4 linked regions of the Caenorhabditis elegans genome follow. The protein of the gene in region 3 interacts with the protein of the main gene of each other region in a pairwise test. Each region holds a gene or a part of one and is shown on either strand. Other genes may lie near its edges. The genes, in order: R06C1.6, ztf-30, gldi-8 and ztf-16.

Region 1 (8,733 bases), on a different chromosome or scaffold from region 3:
GAAAAAAAAACCAAAAAATCGAAAAAATTCAAAAAACCAAGAAATTATGTAAAAAATACCAAAAAATCGTTAAAAAAACCAAATTCCGAGAATTTTTTATTTTAAAAAAATATCAAATTTTGCCCGATTTTCTCTTAAAAAATTTGAAAAAATTGAAAAAATATTTTTTTTCTATTTTTACATATTTTTCTGAAGCAAAAACAATTTCCGGATTTTTTTAATTTCTAAAAAATTTTAAAAAAACCGAAAAAAAATTGAATAATTTCGAGTTTTCTAAAAAAAATCGAAATTTTTCGATTTTCCAAAAAAAAATTTTTTATGATTTAATTTACATTTATTAATATTATTAAGATTAAAAATATGATAATTTTTCAAGCATCGGGGGTGAATAACAATTATCGGATTAAGAAGAGATTTTATGCATCACAAGCTGTATTTGCGGGCCGAGAGAGAGTGAGAGACGGAGACAAGACAACTACAGTAGACTAGTTTAAAGGAACATCATTGGGGAGTTACTGTAGTGATACAAATTTGAGATTTTCAAAGAAATTTCCAGACCAAAAAACAAGAGAGATCTTCGAGCTGAAAATGAGAGGAAGACTTGGAGGAAAAATGAATTTTTTTTGAAAAAAATTTATTGCTGAGCGACGTCTGGAATTGCGACGCGCATTTTGTACAAAAAGTTGAGAATTGATTCGTAGAGTTGTGGAGATTGACGAGATTCCAGGCCGTCGGCAAGGCATTTGACTGAAAAATTGAAAAAATTGGGAGGTTTTTCACTGGAAAATTCGAATTTCCCGCCATCGGATTGTTTTGCAAGCGCGCTCTATTGAACTCGTGGGCGTGCGGCGGGAAATTCGAATTTTAGACACTTTTAAAACCGAAAAATTCAAATTTCCAGTAAACGCGCTCTATTGAACTTCGCCAGGCGGTCGCCGAATATTTGAAAATTCTGGAATTTTCCATTGAAAAATTCAAATTTCCCGCTGTAAGTGTACTTTGCAAGCGCGCTCTATTAGACTTTGCGACTAAAACGGGGAATTCAAAAATTCCACGAATTTTCCGCAAAAAAGTGGAAAATTAGCAAAAATTGGAATTTCCCGCCACAAAATATTGCAATTGCGCTCCAATTGACTTTGAAAGTTTTCAGTGAACATTTTATTTTTAGTTTCTAATTTTATGGCCCAACAAAATCAACATTAAACTGGGAAGTTCGAAATTTTGTGGGTTTTTCAAACGCGCTCTACCGAACTCACGGTCGGCGAGAATTTCAAAAATTATCTCGGAAAATATTGATTTTTGGCTTTTTCACGTGGTGCCGCGCTGTCCCATCACGGTTTGATCTACAAAAATGCGGGAATTTTTTGTCCAAACAAATGTGACGTCAGCACGTTCTTAATCATTAACATCAGTCGAAAACTCTGCGTCTCTTCTCCCGCATTTTTTTTAGATCTACGTAGATCAAGCCGACATGCGACACTCTGACACCACGTGAACAAATTGTTCAACAAAATCACGGTGGAGCGCGATTGCGACCGATGTTCTGAGAATGAATTTTGGCGCGAGAATCTGAAATCTGGCTGGTGGGAAATTCAAAAAAGAAGCAGAAGTCAAACGCGCCCCACTGTACTTACACTGTCTCTCCAACTCGATCCGTTCTCCAGGCGTTGCCGGTTGCCGGGCGGCAATGATCTTCTTGACGGCTTTCTTCGGCACCTGATTCTTCGCAACTCTGGCATACAACTCCGAGACTTCAGCAGTTAATTGACGATAGACATGTCGACAATAGACACGATGAGAAGCCATTAGAACTGCACGAACACACATCTCAAATTCCTCGACCAAAGATCTGTCGAACGGGCGGGCCGGCGGAGTGATTCCGCTGATTTGATAAGGAAGCGCTTCCTCGGGGGTTTGAGTTCCGAGGCGAAGGTTCGGAGCACTTTGTTGATGTTGAAGGAAGCGGGTGTGATGGGGAAGATGATGGTGGTGGGCTCCCATGACGTGACCGTTTATTATAGTTGACTTGAAGTCTTGGGACTGAAAAATCTTGAAATTCTAAGTACTGGGTAAGTTGGAAGTTTTTTGATATCTCATATGATAGGGGGATATGGAGGTTTGAGGTTGCGACCCCTTAAGCCTAAGCCTAAGCCTAAACCTAAACTTGAGCCTAAACCTAAACCTAAGCCTAAGCCTCAGCCCAAGCCTAAGCCAAACCGTGAGCCTGAGTCTAAGCCCAATAATAAGCCTAAGTCTAAGCCGAAGCCCAATAATAGGCCTAAGCCTACGCCTAAGCCTAAGCTCCGCCAAAGCCTAAGCCTAAGCTTAAGCATAAAGCTGAAAAATGATAGAGCAGAAAATTTGGAAAATTTTCAATGTCTCTAATAGCAGTCGAGATATTCGGGATAAAAGCTGCACGGAGACGCAGACAGACAGAGCGTCCTCTCTCTCTCTAGAGCTCCATCTTCAAGGCTTTATATCTCTGCTGCTGTTAAAGCTAGAAATACGCGGCAAGAGGCAAAAATTATCAGCGGAAAATTTTGCGTCGAATGAAATATAAATCCTACCACTGGCGAATGCATAGAAACCGGTGGCGACGATGTCAACGAGTTCTGCTGCTGAAGTTGTGGATGCATCGGGGAATTCATTTGAGACGTCATGTATGGCGACATATTCGGATATCCATGATTTGGTGGAGAGTTCCGCTGACCCTGATTATTCTGTGAATACTTTGAGAGTGGTGGAGATGACTTTTGGCTCGCCGGGTTATAGTTGGAAGATCCCGGGGATCCGAGGTCTGGGAAACCGGACGGGGATGGTCCTCCGAATGGGTTTTTCGGGTTGAAGCTGGAGTTGGTGGAGTCTCCGAGGATGTCGTCTACCTCATCGGCGGTCATTTCCAGGGCCAACTCGCTTTTGCTGAAAGTTATGGAAATTGAATAATGTGAGCAGATTGTAGTCGACTTTTCTCCGGCTTACAGAGGTATTTTACAGAATTTTGATAATTTTTACAATGCTCAGTGATGCTTAGACAGGTCTGCTTGGAGCTTTTTGGAAACTTTAATTTTTTGCGAAAAAGCTTCAAAAGTGTTTTCCTACTTTAAACTACCATTAAAATTATTAGGACCTACGAAAAGAGCCCGCTTACCGTTTCTTGAGCTTCTTGTTTATCGAAACCGGAGCCGAGTCACTCAGTGCTGTCGGTTGATCTTCGTTGTCTTCCTGCTTGATATTGGCGTTCATCGTCCCATTGAGCATATTCGCAGCTTCTATTCGGATTTCTTCAAAGAGCACCGAGATTTTTGCGTGCTTCTCGCGTTCGCTGTAAATTTTCTCATTTTCTCGACTTTAATTCGGAATACAATTTTAATGTTAACCAAAATTATAGAAAAAGGAATTTAGAGGATTTCCTCAATTTGAAAATTTTTAATATCTCTTACCACCGCAGAGATTCAGGCGTTTGAAAATGGATGGCTAGAGAGTGAGAGGGGAAGAGAGACGCAGAGATGCAGAGCGTCTGGTTGTCTGCCTCTTTCTCTCTCGTATGCAGTGTGGGCTTAATGCTATTCCAAAAGCCTCAGCCTAAGCCTGAGCTTGAGCCTAAGCCTAAGCCGAAGCTTAAGCTTAAGCCTAAGCCTAAGCCTAATAGTAAGCCTAAAGCCTAAGCCAAAACCCAAGCCCTTAAACCTAAGCCTAGTCCAAAAATAATCAGCATGAAATTCTCTTCAAATTCAAAAATAGCTTGGCTGCTGGGAATCGATTCCAACTAATCTAAAGGGGCTTCTAAGAGGTAAAGCCGTATTTTTCCGAGCACCATGTGACTTGGTGGCTCAGATGCGAATATTATGTGTAGTTGGTCAGAAAACTAGAATCTGGTTGGATTTATACGAGAAAAGCCAGGACCTATAAGAAATACAAAAATACAAAGCTATGGGGCTCCAAAATGTGCAAGTATATCAAACTTCAGGTGACAGAATAAACATTGTCAAACTTTAGCCTATAGAGATTCCCAGACCCCTCTTTGTCACGCGATTTCACGTGATTTTGCCAACTTTCTCACACCTACAACGCCCTTTTCCAAATTATCAGTTATTCATTGCCAGGGGCAACCGGACAGCTTTAGCCTATTATTTTCAATGTGCAAGTATAGCTGAGAGGGTGTCTGAGGGAATGTAGGAAACTTGGGAACTTTGTTGTCAAAAAATACAAAAAAAACTTACTCCCAGGGTGTGTGGAGTATATTTAGAAGCCTAGAAATTTGTTTTTTTTTCAGTCGGGAAGGCTTGAGAATGACGACGACACTTTGGCGTGCACTTGAGAGTTAAGAAGGCAAAATTTGAAAAAATAGGCCGATGTGTGTGCATTCAACATTTTTTTATATAAAAATTATTGTTGTGAAAAAGTTTCTGACAAAGTTTAAATCACTTCCTGGGCGGGATAAAATTTCTAAGATTTTTTAGAATATATTTTTTCTAATTTCGAAAAATTCCAAAATTTTTTTTCAGAAATCTGTTACTTTTAAATTGTTATGTATAAAAAACTACATTTCAACCTGATTTATGAAACCTAAATATCTGAATTCTAACATTTAAATTGAAGATTTTCAACTGAAAATTGAAATTTTTTAAAGAAAAAACCATTCATTATCCTGGAAAAAAAATTTAAATTCACTTGTAAATTCGCCAAAAACATTTTTAATTTATCGAAATTCGACGTTCTTAAAAATTCCAATAATGAAGCATAAGCCTAAGCCTATGCCTAAGCCTAAGCCTACGCCTAAATGTAAGACTAAGCCTAAGCATGAGCTTAAGCCTACGCCTAAGCTTAACCTATTCCTAAGCCTAAGACTAAACCTAAGACTAAGCCTGAGCCTATTCCTAAGCCTTAGCCTAAACCTAAACTTAAGCCTAAGACTAAACCTAATAAGCCTAGATATAAGCCTGAGCCAAAGCCTAATTTCCAATATTGAGCAACCAACTTTTAACAAACCCCTCTAAATTCCAATGAGTTTTATGAGTTTTTCTGCTCACAATCAGTTGGGTGGCACCAAAACATGTATCTAATTAACACCCATTCACCTCCCCAGTTCCCATCGAAATCATTAATACAAGAAGCACATACTTTTCCTCTTCACTCATCACTCTCGACTGCCCTGCGGAATGATAGCCTGGGAGATGATGAAGCTGTTGCTCATGTTGTTGTTGCTGCTGTGCTTTGGCCAACGGAAGCGGTGTTGACGTCACGTATGCTGTGGGAAGATCGTTGGATATTCTGGAAATGGAAATAATGTTGTTTTATTGAGTTTTATTGATTATGAGTTTTATATTTAATTTGTTTAATATAAAAATTGTCTTTAGAGGAATTTTTGAGACCGCCGTCACGTACTCTCACTGTCTACGCTCTCTCCCCAGTGGTGAGAGATATTTAAAAGTTGTTAACTAACAAAATATAGAAAAATATTAGCTTAACATTTTACTAGTTGACAACTTTTTTGTATTTCTAACCATTAAAGAGTTATGACAGTTTGAAAATATTAAGCGTCACGGATGAGTTGGGTAAGAGGTGCTCTCACTGTCTGCGCTCTATCTTTACAGGGGTAAGAGCTATCAAAAAGTTGTCAAGAGACAAATTGTAGAAAAATTTAAGCTTTACATTTTGTTAGTTAACAACTTTTTTGTAACTGTAATCCTGGCGGAAATATTGAAGCTCCACAATTACAAAAATTTGGTGCAGAAAAATATTTTTTTAAATCTAATTTCGGTAGAACTGTCATACATAACTCAAAAACTAAAAACCTTTTAAACTGAAAAAATGCTCAATACAACATTTGCCACATGTTTGTAGTTGAAAACTTTCTTCTAAGTCGACCCTGAACGAAGTTATAGCGGCAGACACTTCGCGGGCCAAAATTCAGCAATAGGAAAACCGTGAGGTGTCGGCCGCTATAACTTTTTTCAGAGATTAATCAGAAAACTGGTTAAACTGGAAAAATGTAGCTTATGTAAAACTAAATATTTTTGTAATTCTACACTTAGCTCCAACTAAACTTTGAAAATAGTCAAAGCAGCCGACACCTCACTGGACAAAATTCGAAAATCGGGAAAACCCGTGAGGTGTCTGTCGCCGCTGAATCTTATCCAGGGATGATTTGGAGAAAAGTTTTAAACAAAAAAAAATGTTTTCCATAATATTCTCTACATTTTTGTACTCGAATACTTTTTTCTAAATCAACCCTAAACAGCGTTACAGCCGCCAACACCTCATGGGTCAAATTTGTTGAATTTTGAAATTTGAAATATGAACCGTGAGGTGTCGGCCGCTCACAACTTTTCATTATTTTTCACTTACCCTCTTCCAAAACTCATGGCTTCTGCTCCGTGCTCATTTCCCCCGTTTAACATCATGGGCGGTCCGACGGCTTGCTGTTGCGATAAACTTTCAATGGATATCATTAGGAGCCCAAGTACTAAAAAAAGTTCATGTTAATTAGAGCCTATATAGAGACGAAAAGACAGCAACAAAGATTAGAAATTCAAATAAGAAAAAAAAATAGACAGAAAATATGGGAAACCCTATGGAGGGAAACAAGTTTTTTTGTGGCAAGGCACCGCCGGGCCTCAAACTTTAAGATTTCTTTCACGGCTTCTGTTAGAATGATTTTGAATTGACGTTTCTAGATAAAGTTGGCAACAATCTAAATATACGCTTTTAATTAGCAGCCGACACTTCACAGGCCTAGAAAATAATTTTCAAAGATGGGCTCGCAAAATGTCGGCTGCTTGATTTTTTTAAATTTTGTGATATGATCATGTTAAGCATGAAAATTGCTACAATTTGTTAGTTGACCACTATTTTTTGGTATCACGTTGAAAAAAGTTGCGGCAGCTGACATCTCACGGGCACAAAAATGAATGTGGGCCCGCGAGGTGTCGGCCGCTTTAGTTTGTTTCAAAATTTTGGTCATTTTAAGCATAAAAATTGCTACAATTCATTAGTTCAGTATCAATTTTTTCACCGCTACTCTGAAAAAAGTTACAGCAGCCGACACCTCACTGGGCTAATAGTCAGAAAACCCGTTATCAAAAATGTACCCGCGAGATGTCGGCCGCAATTCATTTTTTAGAAAACACTTTACAGTGGACTTCATAAATACGAAAGTTTATTTATTTTTTAATTCTAAAAATGCAAAAAGCGGCCGGCACTTCACGAGTCTAAAAATCTGATATTCAAATATGGTCCCGCAAGATGTCGGCCGCCAAACTTTTTCTTTTGACATGTAGAAAATTTTATGTGGAAATTGTGTTATTGAGCATATAAAAAAGTACAAGAAAATGAAATTTTGCCTCCAATAAATCTTATATAACAAAAACTGGGCAAGAAAAAAAAACTCAGAGCTCCGCGAGCAACAAGGCAAAAGGGGCAGAGAAAAGGAGCAGTGATAAGCTCTCAGTTGAGCAACTGATCTCTTTTGGAGAGGGAAAATGGGCGGAGCCACCAGCGAGAGCTCACATGTGCTCGCGGAGCTTCCGAATATGTTTTGATGACGTCTTGATTATCATCATCTCTTTGTGGAGAATATTTGGAAAATAAAATAAAAATAAGGGAGAATAAATAAAGTTTCCCATTTTGGGGAAATTTTTTTTATTAAACTGTTTCAAATTTCCGTTTTTTTTTTCGAATTTTTTTTTTGCCGGAAATTAGCAATTTCTGGTGCGATGTGGGTGAAAACGTATTACAGCAAAAGATTAATAAAAAATGACTCATTTTTACGAGAAAACTAGAAAAATTGAACGGTAGAAAAATCGACATACAGTGCCGGCCAAAAACATATCCCATTTTCGATTTTTGATAAATTTACAAATTTTACAAACGAGCACAACTTTAAAACTAGAAATGTTATCGAAAAAAGTTTAACTGATGAAGTATTGCCCATGATTTCGTCTACTTGTATTCAATTGTTAAAATTTTTTACCAGTGCCAGGACAAAAAATACAGCGGCCGACATCTCGTGAGCTCATTTTTGACAACGTTTACTGATTCGGCCGTATCTCGAAAACGAAATTTTTTCTGCAAATGTTGTTAGAGTAAAATAATCTTCATACTATTTGTCATCGTTTGTGCCTATTCACTTTGTTCTCAAAAATCCTACAAAAAAGTTATGGGAGTGCAAACTTGAATAGTGTACGGCCACGCCTCGAACATTTCTCGCAAACGATGAATTTTTTTCCTGAATCTTGATATTGTGTTTGAATATAGCTTAATTGTAATTTTACATGTGTTATTTCTAGAAAATGCTCGAAAAAAATATTTTGAACTAAGTAGCCTGATTTTTGGGTGTAGTGGGTAGGTGGCACCTAGTGAGCGACAAGTTTGCAATCCCATAACTTTTTTGCTGGATTTTTCAGAACAAAGTGAATAGACACAAACGATGACAAATAGTCTGAAGACTATTTTCCTATAACAACATTTCCTGAAACAATTTAGTTTTCGAGATACGGCCAAATCAGTAAAAGTTGTCAAAAACGGGCTCACGAGATGTCGGCCGTTGTATTTTTTGTCGTTACACTGGTAAACAACTTAAACAATTGAATACAAGTAGACGAAATCATGAGCAATACTTCATCAGTTAAACTTTTCTCGATAAGTTTTCAAGTTTTAAAGTTTTGCTCGTTTGGAAAATTTGTAAATTTACCAAAAAACGAAAACGGGATATGTTTTTGGCCGGCACTGTAA
Region 2 (5,803 bases), 4.0 Mb from region 3:
TTCCATTGAGCAAATTTTCAATGAATCTAAATTTTACTCTGGTTTTAGAAATTGTATGGCTCAAAATATGTATTTTGTGTGTGTTCCGGAGTACAGCTTATCACTTTATCGAAAAACGTATGTTTTGATAAGGAAAGGGCGTTTCAATAAATTTGAAGAAAAAAGGGCGTTGCAACAAGTGACATGAATAAAACAAACATATTCGTAGAGTCGTATCAATAATCAGCATCATTTCGATCTTACGTACGTGGAGTAACAAGGAACTGGAATTTTTTGCATGCCGGAGGAATAGGAAGATAAAAATGAAAGACTAGAAACATAGTCTGCTTGTCTGGTATTCCAAAGATCCCCTACCGTACCTAACTGTACTAAACTTACAGCACGGTTACCAAATCCATACAGTCCCGTAATACCACAGTATCTCAAATTATTATGTTTTTTTTAACTTTTAAACAGAATATGTATTGTATTTTGTATGTATTTTGAAAACTTGTTCAGACAAGTTCATCAAACATGTTAATAGCAATTTGAATTGATTTCATAACTCTGACAGCGTCGTCTGAAAATGTTTCTCAATACTATTTAATTTTTCTACCCCCATACTCTATTGTTTTAATTTTCCTAGATAAATTAACAATGCTCCAAATTCGTCAAGTTTTTTTTTCCTGAAATGGTCAAATTTTGACAGCAATGACAATGTTCAATGTGAGCACCTATCAGCACATCAACGAAACAACCCACAAAATAATGACAAAATTGCTATGAAAAATAATAATTTGATGAAAACTGACTTTGCGAAATTTGAGAATTTAGCTGAAACAGAGTTTAACATTAAAAAAAACAGAGCTCAGGATATTGGTAGAGGCTCATGACTAAATTTGGTATTTTTGGGTCGCTTTAAGTGAAAATGGACATCGATTTTTTGTTGGAATTAAAGAGCTAAGAAATGAGCTTTCTCAGATTTCAGTTACCATGGATATTTGGCAGAGGATTTATTTAGTTATTTGTTTATTCTGGATAAGAAATCCGTTTACGTCTTTTGTAAATGTATTTTTCAAAAAAAATTTTTTTTGAAAGAGTACCAAAAATTCTGGAACACACATTATTCAACTTTCTATACTGTTTTTTTACTTTCTTGACTTTCTCTGATCAGTTTCAGTTATTTCCTGGAAGAAACGTAGAATACAGCATTTAAATTTATATCAAGTATGTATTATTATTATATTACAATTATGTATATTCAACGTAAGCACTGAGAATTATGGAGATGGAGACACAGAAGGAACACAACGGATCGGATGATTTTGATTTGTTTGTTTAATATTTGTTTTGGAAATAAAAAGCAAAAAATCCCGCAAACAGGAAGAAATAAGTTAAAAAATATAGTTCTGAGATTGGTAAAAAATATTGCGAAAATTATGAGAAATCTCCAAAAATGAAACAATATTAACATGATAGTAAAGCTTGCGAAGTTTGAGGTTTCAGAGAAATTTGGAAAAAAGATAATTCTAAAAAGGACGTGTCAAAATTGTGTTATTTATGAGAATTCGAAGAAATGAATTCATTTCCGAGGCGTCGTGAGCTTTGTCATTTTGAAGAAATTTCACGGCAAGATTCTGAAAAAATAATTTTGAAATACTTCTTTCTGATCTGAAATCTTACCTGACACTCTAACAATTTCCTTTGGAATAGCTCATTGTGCTCACGGAGCGCGTGTGCTTCCATTCTCAATCTGAGCACAGTTTGTTCCAATCCATTCATTTGGGCATTTGCTTCTAAACTTTCTTGTTGCATCGTACCAATTTTGTGTTCCAACAGTTTGCATTTATTTTCAGAAATCAATATCTTTGTCCTGCTGACGTGGCAGTCGAAGCATTCATGACGTGGACTGATCCTTGAAGAAGAAGATGATGAGGATGGTGAAGCTGTATCAATCAATGGAGATGATATAAGAGCACGATCAGAACACAACTGATGGAATGCACTAAGATCAGACTTGAAGCTGACTGATGAGCAAGTTGGTGACTGTGAAGTATACACATCGGGCTTCTCCACTTCATCTTTTATTTTTTCTTTTGAATCTGCTACAAATATTGGTGCCGTAGCTGAAATATTATCATAAGCATTACAAATATTTTGTATGTAACTTACTAGGTATGGGTTTTGGAAGATTTGCAAGCCATGAAGGTGTCTGAGGTTGAGATCGAATAGGCGATTGAAGAGCAGGGATTGGGATGCTTGCAATTGGAAGAGAAGGTACTGATGATTCAAGGGATTGTGGGGTTGGTAGATTTAGAAGTGGAGTACGGATTACTGAAATCAATAATCTTTTTATGTTCATCTCATATCTGATAGTCTTACACTGGAATGGATCTGTAATGAGGTGGCAGCTTCTGTTGATAACTCCATGAGGAATGACACTATTATTATTGTTGTTGCTGTCATTGTTGTTAGTGGCAGTTTGTAGATGAATATGAAGAAGTGATTTATCAGGAAAAGCCCAATTACAGCAACGGCACATGTACATTCGAGAGATATGATGTTGCTTGAACATATGAGTACGAAGAGATTCACTACCTGCAAATTACAATAGTTTTTTATTATTATTCAAAGTCCCCAATTCAAATACAGTACTCCTATAAAGTTTGTCTACTTATCCCAAAGCCATTATTTGACCCCTTACAATTTCGCTCCAATCCTCCACTTTTTTCCCTTCTGCCCCCACTCTCATCCATTGCGCAACCTCATTCAATTGTCCCCGTTCTCGAAAAGTGAGAACTGTGTTTGCGTCTGCGTCTCCACTATTTCGTATTTCTCCGGATGACCTCAATCGTCCGGAGAATGAAGAAACAGTGAAAATTGAATGAGATCAAGAGGAATCTTTCTCCGGAGAGTGGATGGATAGTAAACAATAATTGTTCATACAGATGCTTATACCCGAACAACAATAAAAACGAGTTTCTTGCGGTGTTTCATGTGATAAACAATTCAGGTGTAAACAATATGCTTGTTCAAATATTATAGGTGGATGCTTTAAAATATAGCAGTGGTTTTGCACTGCACAATTTTGCTCTGCAAAATGTTCTACAGTATCCCTGCTAAACCCGGGAAATGAGGAGATCAAATCAAAAGATGTACTGGAGCTTAATACATTTTTGTAGCAAAAGCTCTCTGAGTCCCTGATCGAACAAGTTTTCATTCTATTTCATATTTTTGTCTCCAGCAGCTTTTCAGCTCAAATGTGCAGCTCATTCTTGTATCAAATGTCATGATTATCTTTCTTTCAATTTCGAAAAATCTGTGATTGAGGATTTTTCTTAATGCTCGGAAGATCACCTCATTGTCAATAAAAAATAAATAACTTCCGACTTACTTGAGATATCTTTTCGGCATACTGTGCATTTGTAGCTTTTGAAGTGAGCCTGCATACGGTGGCGGGAGAGACTTGAAGAATGACAGAAAACTTTTGAACAGATTGAGCAACGGAACGAACCTGAAATTCAGAATCATTATAAAAGTAAGAACCTAATCAGATTTGGTGGACTAATAACAATTCCCAGAACTTACAAACCTTTTAAATCGGGTCGTTTTAACTCAACACCACTTCCACCTTTGGATCCACTGATATCAGTTCCATTCTCAACCTCCACGTCACTACCGTAACCTTCCTCCTCTGTATTTGTGGGTGAATGAATTTTATCGTCTTCCAGCTTCATATCCATTTCAAGATGCATGATTTTGAGCTGAATCATGAAACATGAAGACACATGAAACAATACAAAGGCAGATAAAATGAGGAAGTAAAAAATCTGAAAATCGAATGAAAGAAAAGATGTGTGAGCTCATAGCATTTTGAGCACATAGGCACTTTTCAATGTGTGCAGGCAAAAGGCCATTATGATGACGGAGGAGGAAGAAGAAAGATGCAAAAAGTAATAAAAAAAGCTTAACTACAGGCATCCAGATCAATGACGCTGACGGTAAGAATGATCCATTCTCTTTTTAGTGTATGTCATGTAATCCCAAATCCAGATCATTTTACAAGAATGACTTGAATTTCTAAAATAGAATGTGCTGCAAGGATACGGTAGATTAACTCAGATAACGAATGAATCATTGCATTCAATGTTTTGGAGCAGCAGGAGCACGGGAATTTTATGAGAACGTGTGTGTGAGAAGCTTCAAATTTTAAAAGTAAATCGGAGGAGCTTGAAATCAGCAATCGTAGTATTATCTTTCAACATTATTGCCTGGTTTCGCGTACCTAATATATTTACAGAATTTTTGGGGCAACAGTTTCCAAGAATAACTTGTTTGGAGGCTTTTCCAAACTGTGACTCTTTGCTCCATTATTTAGAAGACGTTTTTTAATTTTGAACTCTTTCGTAGAAAAAAGAAGAACTTAGTGTGAACGTTGAGTAGCCAATAAATGGCAATTTGTCAGTATTCACTTATTTTAGGAGACTCTAAAAAGACAATCTCTGGAGTTTTTAGAAAACTCTAAAAAATGCTGGTCATGTTGGACTATTATTAGTGTATTCAAGTTTTGACATAGTCTCTTGTTTTGAAATTTATGAAATGGTTAAAACAGCTAGATTTAAAAATTTCATCAGCCATTGTTTGATCATCTGGGCAAATCTTAAAGCATAATCTTCTAATCTTTTTTGAGAGACCTGTTTTTAAAATCCAAAGAAAATCCTTCGAAGAAAGTTTATGGTTTGTACTTCAAAATCGTCGGACAAGTTGTTTCTAAGAAAGTGAAGCAAAAAAGGTTTAATGATGGATTTTGCATAAGAAAACTAAGTAGGTTTAAAGTTTAATCGCGGGGGAGTGTTTGCAAAAAAGGCACATCTTTAGGGACTTTTTTCTAGATTTAACAAATGAAAAAGCCGTGCAAATTTCAGTTTACTTGGTTCCCATATCCCAAAAAGAGACCATAAACATTAGATTAAAACTAGGCACTTGTAATAAGCCTAATGACGTGGCACCGAAATGTTGCAACCCGTGACTATGAACTATACAAGGTCAAACTGTCAATACACCTATCCTTTCCGCTAATTATCCATCGTCACCAAGACGGCTAAGACGGAAAAAAGATGAAGACGGACGGCAATGGATTGAAGGGAATAAGACGAAAGTGTCAATACGCAAAGACTAGGTCAAACCGGAGAAGATGAGAAAGTATAGAAGAATAAGAGATACAGACTAGAGGAATGACGTAAGGTTTCCAGGAGAAGCTAGGTGAGATGAAGTGGAAGTAAAGAATTTGGAAAAAAAATGTGCTAGAATTGGGGAGAAAATCTCAATAAATTGTAAGCATGTGAAGGCAGTGGGGAATGGGTTCTGAATTATTTCGAACACATAAGCTCCGGCAGTTGGGTTGCTACTTGTTAAAATACATCCTTAAAATTAGCAGAAGGAAACATTTCCATTTCAGAGTGATAGAAGTTCACAAACTACTAATTTGGAACTTTCCTTTTTCTGGAAAAAAGTTGACACCTCTGAAATGACACCATATTCACTAGTGTTCCTGAAAAGTTTTCCGTATTAGTTTTCATTAACAGCAAAAAAAAGTTGGCCCGAATGAAAAAAAATAGGCGGATACTCGGATGGTATATCCTGCCCATCGACAAGATGATCCTTGCTTCAATTGGTTTTAAGCCGCTTCCCAGATTTGATGAGCGAATTTGGCGATGAGCCGTGACGACGCGTACAGCCTCATTTGTGCAGGATCGAAAAAGCATCAGTTTTCGAGATAAGGCAAGACATGTGGAAAAAATGTTTTCTGACGCAATTGAGTTAA
Region 3 (6,199 bases):
CATTCAATAACTTCACTAAGAAAAAAAATCTCCAAAGGTTGATCGCAAATATGTAGAGATTGCTCGCATCCCTTCAAATATTACAAAATTTTCAAGTTTCTTAGAAATAATCTTCATTTAGATTACTGAAAAATATCCACAGATTACTTTTGAGTTGCCTGAGAAGTCAAAGTAAAACGCAAGACGAGCTCAAATGTATTTTGATAAAAGTGGCTATTTAGGCTTAAGCCGCGCCATACCGCCGGTGTGTCATAAGGATTTCCAATATTTTATTCCAGTTGGGCATCCTAGTATGTTTTTCGGGCCTTTAGGCTTAAGTGTGTCATAGGTACAGAATTCGAACCTTTCTTTACATGAGATAGGAATTTTATATCAACCAAATTAACCCTCCAGTAGAGTGGGACCTTTGATGAATATAATCACTCTGATGATATTTAATTCCGATGATTAATCCATTTTTCTTTCTCTCACATTTATGAAGTAAAAATGATTACTAAATTAAGGCGTGATATTCTAAGGTGTGATAACATATGATATTTATTTTTAAATTTAAATAAAGTTTTTTTTTTAATTTTTGCTAAAGAACGAATAGTTTACAGCCGCCTCGCTCAAATGTATTTTGATAAAAGTGGCTATTTAGGCTTAAGCCGCGCCATACCGCCGGTGTGTCATAAGGATTTCCTATATTTTATTCCAGTTGGGCACCCTAAGTCTAAATAGCTCTTTTTCTTTTCTTTTGCGCTCCAAGCGCAAGGAAAAACCTTCTTGTAACTTTTTAAGAGGGTTTCATATATTTTATTAAAATCGGGGCGAAGCCCTGATTTTAATAAAATATATGAAAAATCTCTACATAGCGTCAGTGGGGGAGCGTTAGCTAAGCCAAAAAAAAAAAAAAGCCAAAACCAAAGCCTAAGCCAAAGCACAAGCCTAAGCCCAAACCTAAGCTTTAGTCAAAGCCTGAAATCAAGCCTAAGCCTAATTCTAAGCCAAAGCCTAATCCTAATATTAAGCCTGTTCGTAAAACTAGGCCTGTTCTCGGTGAGACAACTACCCAATATTTTTCAATGTCATCAAGCTTGAAATCCGCTGGCTGGAATTAATTTGCAGAGGAATAGGCTTCACGCATTTTAATTCATTTATTGTGTTGAAATCTCTACATGAATATCTAGTAAACTCGGTTGGAACCCGTTCGGACCGGTATTTTGAAAATAAAGGGGGGGGGGGAGGTGGGAAAATTACAGCAAAATCTTGAACATTTGAATCTAGAGAAATTTAGAAAATATCGTCCATTTCCGGTAATTCTTCCAATGCTGATCGAGATTTGGGCGCATCCTTCTCATGAACTCTTTTGATGTGCTTCCTCAATTCTGATGGAACCGGATAGGATTTGTGGCAAATTGTGCATTCAAAGCGATTGGATTGTGAATGAACACGAGCCTTGTGTGTTGACAAAGCGGTGACCGTTGTGAATCGTTTTCCGCATTCAATGCAAGCATATGGATGCTTGGGCTGAAAATTTTAAATTTTAATTCATTAATTTTAAATTTTCATTCATTAAAGGTGGAGTAGCGACAGTGGGGAAATTGCTTTAAAACATGCCTATGGGGTCACAATGACCGAATATCATGATAAAAAAAATTCAAAAAAAAAATTAAAAATTTTATATGATTTTTTGAAAATTGAAAAAAAATCTCGAATTGCATCAATTTCCCATTTAAACTTCCCGCCAAGTGATTTTATCGATGGAGCGCGCTTGCTCGTTTTTATTTTAATTTATTGTTATTTTTTCTTATTTTTCGCCGATTTTTCATGTTTTCAGTGTATTTTTATGAGAAATTTGAAGAAAAAGCCAAAATAATGCAAATTCTCGATTAAAAATCAACTTTACAAGCGTAAATCTGTGAAATCAAATACTACTGGCTCCAAATCGTTTAAAAGTGGTACTTCTTCGTTTTTACGCTTGCAAAGTTGATTTTTAATCGAGAATTTGCATTATTTTGACTTTTTCTTCAAATTTCTCATAAAATTACACTGAAAACATGAAAAATCGGCGAAAAATAAGAAAAAATAACAATAAATTAAAATAAAAACGAGCAAGCGCGCTCCATCGATAAAATCACTTGGCGGGAGGTTTAAATGGGAATTTGATGCAATTCGAGATTTTTTCAATTTTCAAAAAATAATATAAAATCTAGAATTTTTTATCATGATATTCGGTCATTGTGGTACCATAGTCGTGTTTTAAAGCAATTTCCCCACTGAGCGTAGTCCACCTTTAAATTCTTATCCTTACCGATTCAGCGCTAATGTATCTCACAGCCGTGACATTTGGATCGTTCTTGGCATCTGGATGTTTTCTACCAACATGCCGGAGCATTGATTGTCGGCTCGCGAAGCTCTCTCCACACACTTGACACGATTTATCCCTATAGGAGACTGGGCTTGTGATTGGCCCAGGCTGACAGCTTGAGAATGATGCATAACTGACGGTGGAAAGAGCTGGGCTTGACGGCAAACTTTGTACTTTCAGAATCTTCGATACTCGCTGTTTTTCAATAATTTTCTCCCTATTCTTGCAGTACCATTCGTGAGTTTTGACAGATGTTGATGGGAATAGCTCCTTGCAAATCGAGCACGGCGCCTTCCATACTTCAAGTTCATCCGCATCCTCTTGATGATGCCGGATTATGTGACTTTGCAACGATTTTTCAGATTGAAAGACCAGTGAGCAGTTGTCGCATTGGATTTCCTTGAGATGGAGGGCCATATGAGCATCAAGGTTCTTCTTGCGCTTATAAGCTTTTCCGCACAGCTTACAACGATGCTTTAATCTAGACAAATCATGCACTTGATCAGTGTGAATCTGGAGAGCTTCAGCGTTCGGGAATGCTTTCGAGCACATAACGCAAGTGAAAATCGATCCAGCAGTGTGTGGCTTCAACAGAGAATCTTCCAGCTGTTGCTTTTGCTCGACTTTCCATTGTGATTGGCTCATTCGGATAAGCGATTGAAGTTCCTGGAATAAAAAGTTTCAGTTGCAAATTAAAAAAAAATAATCTTACCTTCGCCTTCTGCTCAAGCTTCTCATCTCCAGAATCGTTTAGCCTGCGCTCGATCCTTTCTTGGAGGTCTTGATAAGCGTCTTTCCGTTCGTAAGGATACTTGATTTGGACATCTTCCTCTTCCTCGTCTTCGGATTCAACTTCTTCAGCTACCTCGGGAACTCTTCGGTCTTCCGGCTCAAATTCCAATTCTTCAATGAGTTTTTGGAATTCATTGACATTTTTGTTCTTCTGAAAATAAAAAAATAAGTAAAATTGGTCGGCGGTAGTGAGAAGACCTCAGCATAAAGCATCTGAGTAGGTTTAATTTTCCCAAGTTTGAGTTTAGTTTTTTTGGTTGGTTTAATTGGTTTAATTACATTTTTGTTCGAGGATAAACATTGTCACTGACACACCCAATGGCTTCGAATAGTGTTTGCCGAAAAAACACAAGATTTGATCGAAAAAAAAGCCATTTTTAAAGAAATTTGACATTTTTTAATAAAGGATAACCGTTGAAAAGTTGTTAGCGTCCGCTTCAGAATTTGACGATGATGAGCAGCTTGTCACAGGAGTTAAATCAGCGTACGACATTGGATAATCGTAAATCTCCATTAAAAATGAAGAAATAGCGCAGAAAATTGACGAAACTGGTTGTGTGTTCACTTCGAAAATCGATGAGCGCGTGACGAAAGAGGGGGGAGACGCGTCGCGGTCGTGCGACGCGTGCAGCAATGCTTCGGTGTTTGCGGACTTGCTTACCGTATACCTGGAGAAAATTGCGATTTAAAAAAAAAATTTTACATAGTTTTTCTAGTAAAAAAAGGAAGAAAAAATGGATCTGTGCATTAATCCTTTAAATTTTCGTCCAAATATTTGATATAATTAAAAGAAAAACTCAAAATTTCTCTGAAAACCGCATATAATTTTGAAGAAACTATTACCATTAACTTTTTTTGCGCGCCGATACCCATCTGAAAAATATTGTGCACCTTTAAAAACACATTTTTAGACTGGAGAAAGAAAAAAATTCGATTTTTTTAAAACTGTTTTTGGAGAAAAAACCAAATTTTTTGAAACTACAGTACTCCTTAAAGGCGCATACCTTTTTCCGCATTTAACAAAAACAATTTTCGTGTCGAGACCCCCGGGGACCTTAGTTTTGGACTACAGTAATCTCAAAGTCCTATTCAATTGGATTGGAAAAACGAAAGGGAACAAAGAATTCTTCTTTTTTCACTTTTTCGACCTTTCTTCTCTGCGTCTCTCCGATATTCACACTATTTTTTATTTCAAAAAAGTATTGCACTTTTCATGGCCACCCACTATCTTTTTGGCGCCCAGGTGGCCTTGGGAGGGAAATTTTTTTTTTTTTTTAATTTTTCGAAAAATTTGAATTTTTATGTCTGTTTGCTTGTGTGTGTGCGTGTGTGTGTCTATAAAATGCAACAAAAATGTAGGTTCTTTTGATTTTTATGATTTTTTTGTCATTTTTTTTTTGAAATTCTTCAAGTTTTTTTTTTTTGTTTTTGCTGGTTTGTTGCTGGAAAAATGGGATATTCCAATCACAGGTATAGGGGATAGAAAAAAAGAGAAACAGAGAAAATGGGGGACAAAAAGAGAGAGGATTACCGCGTGCAGAGAGGTCGTTTGTGTGGTTTTTTGAATTTTTGTTGGAAAAATCTTTTAAAAAAATAATAGTAGGAGATTTCGAGAGAGAGAGAGAGAGCAAGTTTATTTATACAACAGTACTAATATTGAGGGGAAAATGGGAAAAAATTTTGATTTCGGGGGAATTTTTTGTTGAAAAAATCCAAAAAATCCAAAAATCCACACACAAAAAACCTCCCCGAACACAAAAATTACACCAAACAGTGGGGGGTGGGGAAAAAAAAAGACGACCTCGTAATTGTTAATGAGGGAAATAAAAATAGTTTCGAAGATCATTAAGAAGAGACTGAGAGAGAGAGTGGGATTGGGCGGCGGCGGGCGTTTCGCGGGACGAAAAATGAATCCCGCACGATGAAAAAAAAAAAATGAAAAAAAAAGGAAAAAGATAAAATAGGATATTTCAACTGTGAAAAAAAACAATAGAAAATGATGATGGGATGAGATTTTTCACAGCTCAAAAGCTTGAAACCCACAGAAAAAAAACAACGAATGGAGGGGAGGGGGGAATCATTTTTAAAAATATATATTACAGATATAAATGTGTACGTATATTATATTAAAAATGATTTTTTTTTAGAGAATAAAATACTACAGAAAACACGGCTCAAGTGAGAGTACCGAGATGATGAGACACATATTATTGGGTGGGTGGTTGCAATATTAAAGAATCGCAGATTTTTCCAGCGAATCTGATTATTCGGTCGGGGATTAGGCAGCGGACAGAGTGGGGGTGTAAATACATTGAAATATTTGAGAATCATGGGAGAGAGAGAGAGAGAGAGAGATATGCACAAAACAATGAATGACCATCAAAAAATCTCAGGAGGATTGAAAATTGGCGATGAGCAGCAGTAGCAGCAGTAGCAGAAGCAGCAGCAGAGAGTTCAAATTATAGACCGATTGTCGACGGCATCATGAACTTTTTCCGTTCCAGCAGTGTTACCGTTGACATCGAACTGAAAAAAAAATACGCGTTTTGAGAAATGTGCATTTTTTTTGTTCTTTTTCGGATATACTCCTCTGACAAAAAATAAAATTTCCTGAGCAAAGTAAAACTCCTACGTATTCTTGCATAGAAATTAAGGATCTTAAAGATTCTTGCTACTCAGAATTTTCTGAAAATTTCAATTTTTTAAAAAGAAAACTCAGAATTTTCTGAAAAATTCAATTTTTTAAAAATAAAACTTGCTCGAAATCAAATTCTCAACAAATTTTAATTTCAACAGTTTTTCAAAAACCGTGTAAAACTTTTCAAATTTGCTCTCAAAAATCAAAAAAAAAAAAAGCAAAGAAAAACTAACGAACTCTTTGATGGAATGATCTCGTGCTCCTCTAGCCGGCGATGGTTGTTGATCATCATCATCATCCACGCCATTCATCAATTTTTCCTTGAAAGCGACAGCTACCGCGTTGGCAACAACAACTGCATGCTGTTCTTGTGGCGTATAGCCACCCCATTCGGTTGATGAATTCGATTCTGATGGTGA
Region 4 (8,783 bases), on a different chromosome or scaffold from region 3:
TAAAAAATTTCACGTCGTTTTCCAAGGTTATTGAAACATTATTGTACTTTTTGTGAATTTGGTGCTCTCATAACTCATTAAAGATCAAAACAAATTGAAAACATGAAAATTAAAATCAATTTCGGAACTAAAATCTTCGTGACACTGTAGATGTTTGACTTGATCATACGTTCAGACGAAACAACAAAACATACAGGAAGAAGACACATATGCAAGCATTCACACCTTCTCCTAACATCCTTGTCTTCTAATTTTGTAACATTTCCGAACGGACAAAAAACCACAGAGATAATGTTAGAATGATATATAATCCTTGGAAAACCACGAGATCGTCAAAATCACTTGTTCTCCCTCCAATTTTTTATCTACATTTGACGTTTTCCCAAATGTTCATCCAATTGTAATTCCACATGCCTTATCTATTGGAAGGTCATTACTATGTTCCAGACGCTCTTCTCACTGCCACAAAAAACCGGGTTTTTTTCTCCATCGTAAGGAGGAGACATAGTGCGGAGAGGGAGGAAGTCTCCCTGCTGCAGCTAGTATGGTCTGAAAAGATCCCGTCGTCTTCACTTTAACCTTGCCGACCTTCTAGGCCACCCGCAACGGCATCCCCTCTCCCCCAGTGCCTTCTCTCCAATTTTTTCATTCTCTTTCTTCCGAACGAAACGGTGTGAGTGTGTGTGTGTGTGTGGGGGTGGGCGCTGCGTTTTTCTGATGAGGTGCGCGCAGCTCGATTTTTTCTTTACATCTTGCGCCCCCGGGCGACAGATAGAGATGATGCCCGTTGCTGCCTGCCGCCACTGCCGCTGCTGCTGCCATCGACAGTTTCTTCTTCTACATCGTTTTTCTTCTTTTTTCTTCATCGTATTCCCAAAAAAGCTTGTTTGGCACCCCGCGACACACGCACTATCTCACCCCCTTTCTCTCTTCTTGTAAATGCCATTCAGAAACCGTCACCTCCTCCCCCCCTCGATCCCCGCCATCTCATTTTTTCATTGCCATCCGCGTAAAGTCGTTTTTCCGCCCTGCCACCCCCAGGTGTAATCCGCCCCATATCAGTTTGCCAGCTTTTGCACTTTTAGTTCTACCGTATCCAATGCCTGCGGTGCCCCACCCCCAGAGATTCCTTCACTCCATATTTGCTCCCCACCATTCCTCACACCCCAAATTTCTCTTCCTATCCTAGAACCTAAAACATAGAACCTAGATTTATGTATCGCAATCTTACCGTTCTCCTCCGCAAACGTAACGTCATACTAGATGCGAGTTTGCTCTCCAGTCACTTCACCCATCTCAATTACCTGTTAGCACCATCTGTCCATCTAGACCACCTTCCTGCTAGTCTCGAACTTGTAGTGGTGGTTACGCGCAATTGACAGTAATCCAGTATAGACACACAGCCATGCAATCATCAACATAATTGTGCTATAATCCACCTGGCATTACTTTGCCTTCCTTGAGATCCTGTTCTTTTTTCTCAGGTTCCTGAATCTTATTTTTGTGCTGGTTTCAGATTTTGATCATTGAAAATTTTCATTTTATAACATTTTTACCCTATCCACCCAATCCATCAAATCTCTTTTTCGTGTTTATGATGCAAATTTTGTGTAATAGTATATATGTTTTGATGTTTCGTATCTTACACACCATGTCTGGATGCGATAATTAATCCATATTAGTTCCTCCTGTTTTTTTTAATGTTCATCAACTTTTTTTTCTTATTGCTCCTCGTAAAGGTCCGTAAGATACCTACTGCCCAGCGAATACACACTTTACCACTTCTCTTACAAATATAGTAAGCACACAGTAGCTCGTCGCTATGAGTGCAAGTCAAATCCGGAGAAGCAGCTTATGGAGTACACGGGGAGGCATCGGGTTGAGATGTTTGGCCAAACCCGGAAACCGTATCTCGGTCCTTCTTCGCCTCCGCCGCCGCGAGACGACAAACAACTAGGCGAGGTCACCTAGCTGCTCTCAAAACCGTGGACCAGGCTCTCGCTAAATCAAACACACTCATAACAAGTCCAACTCGCAGTGGTTGCTAAAGAAGCTGGCTATCCATAAATTACTGCCTACTCCCCAAATTCGTATCCAGGCGCGTAACCAGTAATTTGGCGAGCCGTTGTAAATGCTTGTCAATGTGATCATACCTATGGATCCGGCTCCTCCTTTTCCCCCTCCTCCGCTTTTTTCGCTCCGATAATACATATTTTTCCAGTCACTCTTAGTATTTCCATTTTCCAATTTTCCCATATATTCCTATATCCGCCTGTTACCATTTCCTATACATTTCCTTTCTTATCTTCTGCCATCCGTAAACACACCTGATTATTGTGTGCAAGTCTCGTCGTGCCATATTCCTCGCTTTTTTCCCCTATTTTTCCTCGTTGTTCTTCTTTTTGTCGCCCATTTTCGTCTCATTACCAGATATTCCCTGTCAGGGTTTTTCATTTTGCTATGGTTATCATTTCAGTGATCTCAACAATGGATGAACTGAACGCTTGCACAGAATGCGGATTCACGACTACTGTATTTTCCGAGTTTCAAGGACATATAGGTAACCAACCTGTTCGGTGATACATGAATGCCAATTCGTTTGAAACATCCACCTACCCGCGCTTTGTCCATCTTTTTTTCATCTTAGAACGGAGACAAACCCGTAAAAATTCGGATTTGTAGCGGTTTAGTGAGCGCTTCAACCCATTAACTAACCCGCTTCTATTGCGTTTCACATTTAGCAACATTACCCCCTAATACTTTTTTTTTGCAGAGAAGCACGAAAACGAGCACAGCAGGTCTTCAAGCGGAGAAATGTCTAACTCGCAGGTATGTTATGGGAGAGTAAAATTCATCCAGAAGAGTGAGAGCGTGTGAGTGAGAGATATAGAAAAAAGGTTGCGTCATAATGCCATATTTGCCTAATTAGTGCCAGAGGTAGAGAAGATATGTGAGGGAACAACAGAACGTGGAAAAAATGAAGAGGGGAGGGATGTTGGATGTGACGTTGTAACACGTCTTCCAGACATGCCCCCTGAGACTCGTTAGAAACATTGAGACCAAGGCTTTTCAGACAATCGAGTGGGGAGATGGTATTCAGTCGTCCACGCCGTCGCCACGGTCCACGCCCCCTTCAGATCCAACGCCGAGTCCGGACTCGGATGAACATCTTGAACATCACATTTCGATAACAGAAATCACAAACACTCTCATCAAAAGTAAGTTTTCTTTGAATTGCATTTTCTTACACACTGGAATGTATTTCTATTGATGGTTAATTACCAAGTACCAATATGCAATTGTGAAACCTAAAAATTTCAGAAGAACCAGGCACCAAAGGACAAAAGACGGTTCACGTTTGCCCGCACTGTAATTTCACCACTTGTATGTCGCAACACATGAAAAGCCACTTGGTAGGTTCAAGGATTTTTACCCGTTTTCTTGAAAGCATTCTCTTGTTCTATAGGTGACGGAAGAGTGAAAGATACTTTCAGTACATTATTACGCATGTTCCCAAGGGTACAAATTAATTTTAGCATGTAAATCTGTTGATGGATATGAAAGTCTTTTCAATTTCCCTCTTTTCCACTTTTCATCAATTCCTTGTAAGGTGGGTCCTGTAAGTCAACACTCCGTGAACCTTTTCTCTTCTCCCACTCGCTCCATGCCGCTTTTCTCACAAACTACTGTTTACTTTCTATCTACTGTCCAGTTAACTGCGTCTCTCACTTGACCCTACTGTTTTTTGTTCCGACGGCCAATCCCATCACTTCCCGAACGGTCATCGGGATGAGTAGTAGTGGAGTGGTATGGGAGAAGGAGGCAGGCTCCTCATATATTGGCTTTTCTTCTTAAGGATGTTGCCTTTCATGTGAGCCGGTGTCATACTAATTGGTTAAGGCAGAATCTTCCGAGAAACCAAACCAAAAAAAACATAGATTTTCCCTTTTTCGGTTATGTAGTGACATCAAGCGGTAGAGATTGGGATGGGTGGAAGAAGATGGGAGGAAAAAGAGGCGTTTTTGGAAAAAGAAACGGGAAGACCAGATACGGGGGCAGTACAAAAAACGTGATGACCTTAGAAATCACATGACATACCAGTGAAGATTCTTGAACATTTCAGGAAGCGCATGAACGCCATCAAGGCCAAATGTACCAATGCGACATCTGTAAAATGCAGTTCAGCCAGAAGGTGAGCAATTTTTAAAACATTTTCTGAATCGGAATCTGGTTTTCAAACACTCGACAACTTTTGAATCATTTGGATTTTCCAAGTATGGTTATCGTGCTGATTGATCTTCTTCTTTGATTCCCTTTTCACTTTCTTCCTGTGGTTTATCAATGTTGCGTTTTCAGGCTAACATGCATCGTCATCGGATGCGCCACAGCGGTGTGAAGCCATACGAGTGTCGTTTTTGCAAAAAACGATTTTTCAGGAAAGATCAGGTATGCTTGTCTGGCATATTTTTTATTACCCTCCACCTCCTAGCCCCACCATTTAACGGCTGTTGCGTAAGAAGCCGCTGCCGCCTTCCGTAACTCAAAAATCGTGTTTTATCTTCAATTTACGTAATCAAATGGAAAGTGAAACTGATCTCCCGTAAGGAAAGGGAAATTGAGGGAAGAAGGAGGCGGCGGATTGCCGCCTGAAGGTCGTTTTCAATTTGGATATTTTCACTTTCCCGGAAATAAGAAGAGTCTCTTCCATGGATGGCAGGGAACTGCCGCAGTGCCCATCAACCATTTCTTCAAGCGCTCTGATGATATCTGTTTGCCCAAAACCGTTCTTGAAGGTCGACGAGCCTGAAGAAAACAGGAAAATCGGGGGGAACCAATTTGACGGTATTGGTGTCAGGTTATGCCGTCGAATATGAAAACGGTTGGCGCGTCTTTCTTCTCCGATTCTTCATACTATCCGACGACGTTGGTGAAGATGAGAAGTAAAAGACCTTGACGATAGCACGCGCATTTTCTTCGGAAGATCCTACCTCCCATCCTACCTTCTAGCATCTTCTCGATGTCTCCATATTTTTGCCGCTCTTTACTGTGTACCTTACCCCCAGGGCCAATCAGTAAAAAAAAGAAGAAATACCAACCGTCGGCGGTTTTTTTTTTGTTCTAGCTGCGTCTCTGATTGGTTCCCGAAAAGTTGAAAGCCATCACCCTCGCTCGCATCAAAAGGGGTTTTTATAATGAAAGACAAAGGTTGCGGGGCGAGGAGAAAACCAGAGAAAATTGTAAATTGTAATATTGTGTGAAAGTGAAAACCGATTTTTAGATGTTAAAAACATACCGTAGTCATGTTTTAAACATGTAACTTAAAATAAACCTATAACTTTCAGATGCAAGAGCATTCAATGACACATATCAAAACGGGTTTTGGTTTCGACTGTCCAGTATCACAATGTAACATGCAGTTTAGTCAGCACAATGCACTCCGAGCACACTTGGAAGAAACGCACACAATTTCGTCAACAAATCCCGCGTCATGTAAGCGATGTAATTTGATGTTCGCCAATTCGCGACGTCTTCTCCTTCATTTCCAGACAAGACATGACGATTCTGAGGTAAGAGATGTAACTTCAGATTACACGGAAACGTAACACATGATTAGCGAGCAGAACCTGAGCCTTATTAGGTGATGTTTTTCTCGTTCTCGGAGCTTAATTCGGTTGCCCCAAGAGACGCACTTTCCGTGGAATCTCTCTCATCATGTGATATCCTGAACGTGAACTCTTATTTCTCATTCTGATTTTCAGTCTTCTCCGAAAAAAGAAAACACGCCAAAAAGGAAGAAGCTGTCGAATGGAAATGCTTTGCCAATGGATCCTGCGAACATGAGCATAACAGAACAGTTGCAAAGAATGGTGAAATCAGAGTTTAGCCCTCCAAACACCGACACCTCCGATAACTCCACAAGTTCTGAATTCGACAAAATTGTAAGAATCTTTCTTTCGTTTCTTTTTGAATAAAAAGCATTTCCATGATTCCATGGTTTTATTTTCAGCCACCAAGCTTCCCTATGGCTAACCCAGATATTTTGTTGATGTGTCTAAACCAAATGAACCAGTTCAATGGATTCGGAGAAAACATCCCAAGACCAATGCTCAACATTCCAAATATTCCATTGCCGGTATCAATGAAACCTTCACACTTTCGCTAATTAACCTTTGCATTTCAGGCTCTTCACAACATTCCAGCAGTGGCAGCGATTGTGAAGCAGGATCAGGTGCAACTCTGGTCAGAGCAGACGTCAAGCTCTGTGAGTGTCAGTGCTCCAAGTCCGAGTGAACAGTCGCACTCGCCGCCAGCCAATGAGTCATCACTTTCGTTAACTGAAAAAGAGAAATCACCGACTCCCGAAAAAGAAGACGAGGAGAATGTGGTATGTGTTATCGCTAATAACAACTTGTTATTGAAAATGTCACCATTTTGTTTACCTTTTTTCGAAGTGCAATTAGAATTGTGAGCATCGTCAACAGAGTTTTTTTTTCCAAAAATTGGGACTTTTGATCCATTTCTTTGTTGATGCCAAAATTTGGTTTTATCAACCTTAAAAACATAGACTGATTAAATGATTGCCAATTTGTTGCAACTTTCGGAACGTTCTCATTTGAGAAAAAATCTAAAAAAAGAGATAGAAAAACCGAACATTACACCATGTATAGTTTGATGAGGAGGTTTTCAATTTCTCGTAGATGTCACAAGTTTTCTTTGAAATCTGAAGGATGATGGATTCTCTACATCACCCACCTTATCAGAACTATCAACTTTCTCTTCCGAAATTTGAATTTAAAGGAAAACTATAGGTTTTAGGTATTTTGAACATTTTGCAATGAGACTTCTCAAAAAATTTCAAAAAAAAAGAGTTAATTTTAGCTAAAAGCCCGGCCTTTGCCTTTTCCGGTTCGCAGCAGCTGATACCATTCAAAAAAAAGTTCGGACTGCTGCAGTTTTTAGCTAGAATTTGGCAGGTTTTTTCAAAAATTCAAATTTCGATTAAAAAAAACTTTTTAAAAAGTTTCTGTTAGAAACTTCATTGCAAAGCTCGTTAATTCGTGCGCTTTCTGTATATATACTCAAAACACTCATAACCGTTACTCATTTAATGGCATCTAACTCTAGAATTATTTTAGGAATGCTGTCATTGCGGAATGATGTTCTACGACAACACAATGTACCTGCTCCATAAAAGTCTTCACTCGGACGGTGATCCTTTCAAATGCGCATTGTGCGGAACTCAGTGCGGCGAGAAGTACATGTTCACTACTCATGTCATTTTTGCCGATCATAGTACTCAAGCAACGACTTCCGCCTGAATTCACCATCATCCAAGAAATATCCCCCCGATTGCCTTTCAGTTTTAGTAGTCAGTCTAGCGAATCCAAAACACCCCCATTCTTTCATCCACATTTTAATTTTTGTTTTTTTTTTCGGTTTTCTTCGGTTTTTTTCGATGCATATTCACAGTCAATTCTGATTACCTCTTTATTTGTCACTTTCTTTCTTCATAACAGGGAAACAACGAATGATTCTGCTTCTTCTCATTGATTCTCAACAGCTCTTTGTCTCTATCAAAAGTATTTGCCCCGTGTTTTTGTCTATTTCTCATCAATATTAAACCATCAAATATCATTATTTACATTTTTAAAAACTTTCTTCATCTTCTCCTGATTCTGCTCTCTATCTTGTTTCAATTCATTTGCACACGTGTCAAAAGTCATTTTGGACCCGTTAATTTTTTCCGTAACCTTGCATTGTTAGGTTTTTGTTGTTAGTGTTTTATTTTCCTTTCTCACCACCACCCCTCATCAAAATTTGTACAATTTCAATGATTTCTTCGAATGTATTTTAAACTAGTGAACTTCAACTGATATTCAGAATTTTTGAAGGCCTCCTTATCTGTTCCACCCATCCCAAACATTTCTTTCCGATTAGAATAGTAATTTTATCAAGCTTTCTCTCTGTCCCACTGTCCCATCAATTTTCTTCCCATTTCAAAATAAATTTTGTTGAAAACATACTGGAGAATAGAATACTAGAAAAAAGTCATGGTGGCTAGGAAAACGGCTAAATGGATTGGCAGGCAGTCTGTGATTGACATTGGCCCAGCGTATATGGTTATGAGTCGTGTGCTGCTCACTACGGACAATCCGGTTCAGTTGGGCAGTGTCCCACGGGGACTTGCCAAGAACCCAATGCATCAACATTGTGCTCTGCAGGACCAACAATAGTGGCTCTCTTTCTCATATTTTTGTCAAGATTAGCGACTACTAGATCAGTTTTATTTATAGCCATTTGTAAGGACATTTGAACTATTTATGGGTTGTTGTTTTATTTCAAACTGCATCTATATTTGTTAGCAGATTGATAAAAAGTAGAACTATCACAACACAAATTGCAGGTGCCTTTCGTCAGTTATCTGACAGAACATGATTGAGAAACACGGTTGGCGAAGTTTCCAGTTTTTGCCATATTTTTTTTACAATTTCGCATTAAACCTAAAAATTCATGTTTATTCACATAATTTGATGAATGAAAAATTAGCTTGCTGGATTCTGAAATTTTGCAATTTTTTCCTCACAATTTTATGCACAAAAAATTTTCAAAAAATTTTGTTGAATATATTTTTTGAACTATAAACAAATGTTACATTTTTACATTTTATGAATTTTAAAAATTCAGAAAACAATAAAAACAAAAATTCCGGTGCTTTTTAAAATATCGTTTTATGAATATTCAGTTTGATAATTTCCAGGAATTACTATTTTTTTTAATTAAAT

The links.
Region 1: the proteins of gldi-8 (region 3) and R06C1.6 interact in a two-hybrid assay, tested with the Caenorhabditis elegans proteins (one large-scale study listed by BioGRID).
Region 2: the proteins of gldi-8 (region 3) and ztf-30 interact in a two-hybrid assay, tested with the Caenorhabditis elegans proteins (one large-scale study listed by BioGRID).
Region 4: the proteins of gldi-8 (region 3) and ztf-16 interact in a two-hybrid assay, tested with the Caenorhabditis elegans proteins (one large-scale study listed by BioGRID).

What each region holds. Positions count from the first base shown.
Region 1 is NC_003279.8:11,944,734-11,953,466, reverse strand, and holds R06C1.6 (uncharacterized protein), read right to left. Parts: upstream 6,467-8,733; 5' UTR 6,453-6,466; coding exon 6,349-6,452; intron 5,495-6,348; exon of another isoform or gene 5,434-5,494; intron 5,272-5,433; coding exon 5,122-5,271; intron 3,646-5,121; exon of another isoform or gene 3,573-3,645; intron 3,323-3,572; coding exon 3,149-3,322; intron 2,920-3,148; coding exon 2,568-2,919; intron 2,041-2,567; coding exon 1,635-2,040; intron 1,478-1,634; exon of another isoform or gene 1,253-1,477; intron 748-1,252; coding exon 635-747; 3' UTR 322-634; downstream 1-321.
Region 2 is NC_003281.10:8,594,128-8,599,930, forward strand, and holds ztf-30 (Zinc finger transcription factor family protein 30), read right to left. Parts: upstream 3,744-5,803; 5' UTR 3,717-3,743; coding exon 3,572-3,716; intron 3,494-3,571; coding exon 3,374-3,493; intron 2,578-3,373; coding exon 2,362-2,577; intron 2,314-2,361; coding exon 2,152-2,313; intron 2,106-2,151; coding exon 1,663-2,105; intron 1,617-1,662; coding exon 1,509-1,616; 3' UTR 1,183-1,508; downstream 1-1,182.
Region 3 is NC_003281.10:12,594,873-12,601,071, forward strand, and holds gldi-8 (C2H2-type domain-containing protein), read right to left. Parts: upstream 3,813-6,199; 5' UTR 3,657-3,812; coding exon 3,555-3,656; exon of another isoform or gene 3,294-3,554; coding exon 3,063-3,293; intron 3,017-3,062; coding exon 2,294-3,016; intron 1,510-2,293; coding exon 1,273-1,509; 3' UTR 1,122-1,272; downstream 1-1,121. Other genes in the region: epc-1 (Enhancer of polycomb-like protein), read right to left, coding at 5,602-5,668, 6,018-6,199.
Region 4 is NC_003284.9:4,805,230-4,814,012, reverse strand, and holds ztf-16 (Zinc finger protein ztf-16), read left to right. Parts: upstream 1-2,472; 5' UTR 2,473-2,487; coding exon 2,488-2,560; intron 2,561-2,773; coding exon 2,774-2,829; intron 2,830-3,073; coding exon 3,074-3,218; intron 3,219-3,321; coding exon 3,322-3,413; intron 3,414-3,767; exon of another isoform or gene 3,768-3,905; intron 3,906-4,123; coding exon 4,124-4,192; intron 4,193-4,356; coding exon 4,357-4,446; intron 4,447-4,508; exon of another isoform or gene 4,509-4,649; intron 4,650-5,342; coding exon 5,343-5,567; intron 5,568-5,759; coding exon 5,760-5,939; intron 5,940-6,007; coding exon 6,008-6,133; intron 6,134-6,181; coding exon 6,182-6,385; coding exon of another isoform or gene 6,386-6,469; intron 6,470-7,136; coding exon 7,137-7,319; 3' UTR 7,320-8,015; downstream 8,016-8,783. UniProt on the Caenorhabditis elegans protein: Positively regulates the expression of ver-1 in the amphid sheath glia of amphid sensory neurons. Together with ehn-3, plays a role in somatic gonad development and is required for proper gonadal primordium assembly and somatic gonad precursor cell morphology.